Anolis sagrei: one gene and its partner. The protein of the gene in region 2 purifies or fractionates together with the protein of the main gene of each other region. This does not show direct contact. Links are inferred from orthologs where the notes say so. Each region holds a gene or a part of one and is shown on either strand. Other genes may lie near its edges.

Evidence for each region. The genes of interacting proteins can lie anywhere in the genome.
Region 1: the proteins of SF3B6 (region 2) and PHF5A purify together in Homo sapiens (affinity purification with mass spectrometry; 4 studies listed by BioGRID and IntAct, with this or other methods). This does not show direct contact. The link is inferred for Anolis sagrei from reciprocal best matches to the Homo sapiens genes SF3B6 and PHF5A.

The regions. Positions count from the first base shown.
Region 1 is NC_090025.1:161,415,752-161,419,505, reverse strand, and holds the start of PHF5A (PHD finger-like domain-containing protein 5A), read right to left. Parts: upstream 2,574-3,754; 5' UTR 2,499-2,573; coding exon 2,447-2,498; intron 1-2,446. Other genes in the region: ACO2 (aconitate hydratase, mitochondrial), read left to right, coding at 2,960-2,995.
Region 2 is NC_090021.1:139,467,446-139,471,199, forward strand, and holds the start of SF3B6 (splicing factor 3B subunit 6), read right to left. Parts: upstream 2,921-3,754; 5' UTR 2,783-2,920; coding exon 2,753-2,782; intron 1-2,752.

The sequences.
Region 1 (3,754 bases), on a different chromosome or scaffold from region 2:
ACATTTAATAAAATCCTAACTTCCAATATTCCAGGACCAAATGTCAAACATTACTTACTTCTTACCCTTATTCATGTTTGACCAAACATTAATATAACCAATTTTCATCAGTGTGTAGGAGAGAGATTATAGTAGAGTATATGGCTTTTGATGCAGCAAAAACCAGGCTGAAAAACTCATGAAATATTAAGCATGATTTCAAAGTTGTTATGAGGTTGAAACAGTGGACCTATTTCCAGGTACACACGCTTAGGACTGCAGCCATAGCCATACATTGTAAATGTCAACAGTACTATATCCAAAGCAAACAATTAAAACTAGCATTATCTTTTGCCTGTCTGCCAAATCTATATTTGCTCATATGAAAGAGCGTCATTTTCAAAACAACAGAAATTAAAAATTTAATACCTTTTTTGGAAGCCAGGACAAAGAAAGTACTATCATTGTTTAAAAAAAACCATCAAACAATAGCAACGTCTGATGTTTCATGTACGTCATAGGTCAGCAATGACGCAGATTAAGGTAAGCTCATAAGATAACTTTTGAACATAAAGGAAAGGGCAGGAGTCTAAAGTAAGCATCTGTTATGTTAGGAGCTCTTACAGTCAAGAAGATGGTTTAAAAATGCTCACTACTACAGCAACCTTGTTGTTGTGTGCGTTCCCGGCTTATGTTAACCTTAGGTGAACCTATCCCAAGTTTTCTTGGCAAGGGAAGCTTGCTTTTGCATTTATCTAAGGCTGAGAGTGTAAGTTGCCCAAGTCCACTCAGTGGGTTTCTATGGCTAAATGGGGATTGGGGATCCGAACCCTGGTCTCCAGAGCCATACTGTAATGCTTAAACTACTATGCTGACTCTCACTGCAGCAAATACACCTTCCCACCTCAATACAAGAGCAAATATTATAACCACTGTTTCTTGAAAACAGCACTGAATTAGAAGGTCATGTGAAAAGGTCTGTGTACATGTGGTGGAAATTTGAGCCAGTACATGAAATGGATCAGATCCAAGGATGTACAAAAGTTGTCTTGCACATTGTCTTCTAAAACATTATAGCTGTACCTAAACAATCTGAGTCAGGTACAATATTGTGATTAGCCTTTTTTCTACCTAGAGTACTCACAATAGCTTATACACAAACAATATATTGTATTGTACTAAGATGCATTAGGAAAAATATGCTACTTCGGAGACAGAACTGTATGGAATGATTACTGTTTTTGACTGATCTGATTTAAGGTGACACAAACGACTAAGCCTCTATTGCAGTGGTTCCCAAGCTGTGGATTGGCAGGTGTTTTGGCCTTCAACTGCCATAAATCCTAACAGCTGGTAAACTGGCCGGGATTTCTGGGAATTGTAGGCCAAAACACGTGAGGACCCACAGGTTGAGAACCACTGCTCTATTGCAAGATTATCTAGGGCTGAGAGTGTGACTTCCTCAGCACACTCCAGCGGGTTTTATGGCCCCACAAAGATTCTGCTGGGCATCTTGAGGAAAGAAGAAGCAATCAGGAAACATCTATGGCCCCATCTACAGTGCCATAGACTTACTTAGCCGATCCCTCATAGCTCGAGGATGATGGTCCTCCAAGTGAAGTTTCTTGGCGGTGGGTCTGTATAATCCACTTTCTGAATGTTGATTATCTGCTTTAAACTGGATTATAGGTCAGTGTAAATTCATATAATCCAGTTTAAAGCAGATAATCTGCCTTCAGAAACTGGAATATATGGCAATGTTGATGGAGCCTATATTTCACAAAAGGAGTTGCCTTGACTTACTCTCCACAGGATGCTGTTTAAACAGGCAAACAGTGCATCCAAATCCAACCAATTCATTTTCCAGAAGAGCAACCCAGATGCCCTGGAAGGGGGGGGGGGACGGACGGGGACGACAAAGGCGCAACCGTCTCCTTTTCTATATTGATAATGACAGGTTGTCCATTCATGAATTCAAGACTGATAAGCCTGTTGTCACCATCATATCATGTGGAAACATATCCCAAGCTTTAATATTACTATGCATTAAACATAACATGACATGCCTTCCTTTCACCAGCAGGGGAAGGCATTTTTTATGTAAGTCTGCCTTTAATGCAGGCATGGGCAAACTTAAGCGGCTGAGGGAGAAAATGAAGGGGCCTGAGGCTGTCAGGAATGCTGGGAGTTGAAGTCCAAAACACTTGGAGGGCCCAAGTTTGCCCATACCTGGAAACTATTTCTTACCCAATGTCTCTCTGGCCTTATTGGAAGACCAACATCACAAGCACCAAGTAGAATAACATAACAATTGGGTGCAATGTACACTGTCAAATAAATATGCCTTGACACCTCTTTAACTGCCATGGTTCAATGTTAGGGCTCTGTTAGGCCTCAAGGTCCCGCTCCAAGGGCAGCCCCCTTCCCCTCCAATACCGAACCAGGGAAGAGGAGGCCTTTGCCTCACCTACTCCGGCCTGCTTGCGGCAGAAGATGAGGTCCGGGTGGTGCTTCGCCATTTTGCCCTCTTCCTTCCCTCGCCGCGCCGGCTGTCTTCAAACCGCGCGACTCGAGGTCCTGGATGCAAATAGAGGGCCCGGCGCCACAAAAAGCGGGATTTTTTTTACCATCTGCAGTAGGGAGTAAAGGACTTGTTTCCACTCTCTTTCCAAGCCAAAGCCTTAATATCAATTTAATTTTGAAATACAAGGAAGAATAGAATGATTCGAAGTTGTTATATCTTTCTGCCAAGACCTGACAGAGCCCCTCCCCCCTCTTACGTCACTGGTATCGCAGACTGAATGAAAAATATGAAGTGTGTTGCTGCTGCACTCTAGACTTCCTGTTGGGAAAGCCACGCCCCCGGAAGTTGCGTCAAGGCGGCGACGCGCTCTGCGGAGACTCCGCCTCTGAGGCCTGCCTTTTAAAACCCGACGCGTGACGTTATCGCTAGGCGACTTCATCTTTGTCAGTGAACAAAATGGCGCCGTACTATGTCCTAGTCAGTCGGTTACAGGTGAGCGCAGCGGCCGTGAAGCCGGTTGTCAATTGATTGCGGGTCGGACACGGAGCCCTGGTGGCTGCGTCCGTGAGGCGGCTTGAGTCCCGAGGGCGCCCTTCCATAAGGGAGGCCAGCTTCCCCCTTTTCTGCCCTAGGTCAGAGCGTCCCTCATGCGGCCCTTGTGGTGGCTCCATGGAAACAAGGAGTGCATGTCCCCAGAAGGGACGGAGGAAGAGCGGGCATGAGCGGCCTGCCTCCTCGCCTTGGTGCCGGGCCCTCTTTGGGCCTGGCTCATACACTCTGCCTCCAACTTTGTAGCCAAGGTGAGGGCAAGGTTATTGGGGTTTGTCCTCGCTATTCACAGTGATGGCTGGCAGTGCTGGAAAGCCTATCACCCACACATCCCAGGCTCAGCTGTACATGAGCTAACGCTGCTTTAATACTTTATTTTACTGTGGGATGAAGTGGTATCACCGAGGTGCCTTTAGGAGGTTTAGTAGACGAGGCCTGCCATGTGGTATGTCATGACAAATTGGAATGAAATATCACATTTTACCTCATCAGATTACATTGTTTCCAGATTTTTTTCCCTCCTTCTAACTATTTAATGTTTGCTGTCAGCCCTAGTTTCTGCCAACAGCAGTTCGAAAACATGCAAATGTGAGTAGATCAATAGGTACCGCTCCGGCGGGAAGGTAACGGCGCTCCATGCAGTCATGCCGGCCACATGACCTTGGAGGTGTCTACGGATAACGCTGGTTCTTCGGCTTAGAA
Region 2 (3,754 bases):
AGAGCAGTGGTTCTCAACCTGGGGTCCCCAGATGTTTTTGGCCTTCAACTCCCAGAAATCCTAACAGCTAGTAAACTGGCTGGGATTTCTGGGAGTTGTAGGCCAAAACATCTGGGGAGCCACAGGTTGAGAACCACTGCCATAGAGGGAGACGTGATCGTGCAAATAGACTGGACCCAAACCGTAAAAGGCTTTATAGGTAACAATCTGCCTGGAAACACACAGGGAGCCAGTGGAGCTGCATTAACAGAGGGATTGAGCATTATACTCAACCTGTAGGATGTAAAGCAAGCTGGCCAGTACACATAATCAAATTATGCAAGATATGTATGTTTACAAATATACGCATACATATACAAATACACACACACACACACACACATATAGATTCTCACACACATACTACTTCATCACGTTAGAGCAGGGGTCCTCAAACTAAGGCCAGGGGGCTGGATGCAGCCCTCCAAGGTCATTTACCTGGCCCTCGCACAGGGTCAACCTAAGTCTGAAACAACTTGAAAGCACACAACAACAACCCTATCTCATCAGCCAAAAAGCAGGTCCACACTTCCCATTGAAATACTAATAACTTTATATTCACCGGGATTGTGGCGCAGCTGGCTGAGTGTCAGCTGCATTAAGATCACTCTGACCGAAAGGTCATGAGTTCGAAGCCAGCCCGGGTTGGAGTGGGTTTCCAACCAATTGTGTAGCCCGTTGTCGACCTTTGCAACCCGAAAGACAGTTGCATCTGTCAAGTAGGAAAATAAGGTACCACCTTAAAGTGTGGGGAGGCTAAATTAACTAATTTATGAGGCCATAAAGACTTCAGCAAAAGCATGTGGGGAATGCGGAAGTACTTCATCAGTGTTGCAGATGGACGATGAAAGCGACAGCTCCCCTGGCGGCCAGAAAAAAGTTAAATAGCCTCTGTCTGTCTGTATATGTTGTATGTCAAAATTGGCATTGAATGTTTTCCATACTCCTGGTCAGTCGAAAGGTACTCCTGGTCAGTCGAAAGGCGGAACAGGGTACAGGGTTACAGCCTGTGTTGGATGGGGTCGCACTCCCCCTGAAGACGCAGGTTCGCAGCTTGGGTGTGATCCTGGACTCATCGCTGAGCCTGGAACCCCAGGTCTTGGCGGTGACCAGGGGAGCATTTGCACAGCTTAGGCTCGTGCGCCAGCTGCGCCCGTACCTTGAGAAGTCTGACTTGGCCACAGTAGTCCACGCTCTTGTTACATCCCGCCTAGACTACTGCAACGCTCTCTACGTGGGGTTGCCTTTGAAGACGGCTCGGAAGCTCCAGCTAGTCCAACGCTCGGCAGCCATGATACTAACAGGAGCGGAGCGCAGGGAGCACAAAACTCCTCTGCTGCACCAGCTCCACTGGCTGCCGATCTGCTACCGGGCTCAATTCAAATTGCTGGCGTTGGCCTTTAAAGCCCTAAACGGTTCGGGCCCAAGCTACCTATCTGAACGTATCTCTGCCTATGAACCCACCAGGACTCTAAGATCTTCTGGGGAGGCCCTGCTCTCGATCCCACCTGCATCACAAGCAGGGCCTTCTCTGTGGTGGCCCCTCAGCTGTGGAGCGCCCTTCCCATGGACATAAGATCAGCTCCGACGTTAATGGTGTTTCGAAAAAAGCTAAAAACATGGCTGTTTGAACAGGCATTCAGATAAACAGTGCAATGAATATGATGAATATAGGAATGGAATTATAGACAACGAATTGGATCACGATTCTAGTTAGGGGACGTTGTTGTGTTGTTATTGATGTGCCATTACTGTATATTGTGCTTTCATGGTTTTTAAATCGTTTATTGCTATTTTGTTATGACTGTTTTTGCTATGTTGTGAACCGCGTTGAGTCGCCTTCGGGCTGAGAAACTGCGGTATACAAGCAAAGTAAATAAATAAATAAATAAATAAATATATGTGTACACTGTAACCCGCCTTAGTCCCCTGCGGGGTGAGAAGGGCAGAATATAAAAGCTGTAAATAAACAAATAAATGAATAAATATTTGTTGAAATTGTTCTTCATTTTAATTATTGTATTGTTTAAAGTGTTTTTTGCACTACAAATAAGATATGTGCAGTGTGCATGGGAATTCATTCGGGTTTTTTTTCCTTCAAATTATAATCCGGCCCTCCAACTGTTTGAAAGACTGTGACCTGGCCCTCTGTTTAAAAGGTTTGAGGACCCCTGCACTAGAGAATGAATCCACTTTAAATCTAGTTCCTGCCTGCTGCAGAATTCTGGGGTTTGTAGTTTAGTGAGGCTGTTAACGGCTCTACCTTAAACTACAAATCCCAGAATTCTGCAGGAGGCAGCAACCGGATTTTAAGTGGATTCATTCTCCAGAACAGTGGTTCTCAACCTGTGGGTCGCCAGATGTTTTGGCCTACAACTCCCAGAAACCCAAGCCGGTTTACCAGCTGAGAGTCGAAGGCCAAAGCATCTGGGGACCCACAGGTTGAGGACTACTGCTCATAGGTCCATAGATATAACTACATCTATCTATATACACACACAGTGATCTCTGTGAAAAGCCTCCTTGTTTTCTGAAGCCTTTGGGAATTTTAGTTTCACACACAGAGTTATATATAAAAGCCCAAAGCTTCGGAAGACAAGGAGCTTTTCTTTATCGGGATGCCAACCCATTCCCGCCTGGTTTGCTGGGCCAGAACACCCCCGTCCCACGAAACGGCTTCTGGGGCGAGGAACAAGGGTCCCTTCAGACTCACATTGGCGCGCTTGGCCGCTTGCATCGCCATGGCGAAGGTTAATAGGGTCTCCGGCTTCTTGGGAGAAAAATAAGGAAACTTCGCAGCGAGTCCGCGGCGGATGAAGAGCTCCAAGGCCTCGCTTCGCCTTCCTCTTTGCCTTAGCCGGGAAAAGAGACACGTCACTTCCGGTCCTGGCCAAGGCTAAGTAACATCGCGTGGCTTTGATTCCCGGGCGTGTTTGGGCTCTCCGCCCCCTAGAGGCGAGGAGGAGCGCACGCAATATAAGGAGATCCTTGCATCCCACAAAAAAGGTTTTCACCTTTCACCAGCTAATAGCAGCTCAGGAGATTATTTGAAGGCCAAGTAAAGACAGTTAAATGTGTTGTCAAAGGCTTTCATGCTCGGAATCACTGGGTTGTTGTGAGTTCTCCAGGCAGTATGGACATGTTCCAGAAGCATTCTCTCCTGATGTTTTGCCTGTCTAAGATCACTAAAGATCACCAAAGACTACAGTCTTCAGAAAGAACTTGAAGACCGGGCTGTTCCGATGTGCCTTCCCAGAATAGGAAAACTCCATCAATAAGTCCCAGAAGCACTTTATTAGAATTAAGATTGCTGGCACACTGCACTTACCCTATAATCCTTACGTATCACCGGTCACATCAGCACTTTTAATTCTGTACCCATTACTCTGGCCCGGCCCAGTTTTATTGTGTGCTGGTGTATTGTTTATTGCTTGTTGTTTAATATTGCTTTAACTGTTTTTAATTTGGTTTAGGTTGTGTATTGTTATGTTGTGTTTTGAGGCCTTGGCCTTTGTAAGCCACATCGAGTCCTTCAGGAGATGCTAGCGGGGTACAAATAAAGATAATAATAATAATAATAATAATAATAATAATAATAGGCAACCCCAGAGGTTGTGATCTCTTTTGGAAACTAGGCAAGTGGGGTTTGTATATCTGTGGAATGTCCAGGGTGGGAGAAAGAACTCTTGTCTGCTAGAGGCAGGCGTGAATGTAG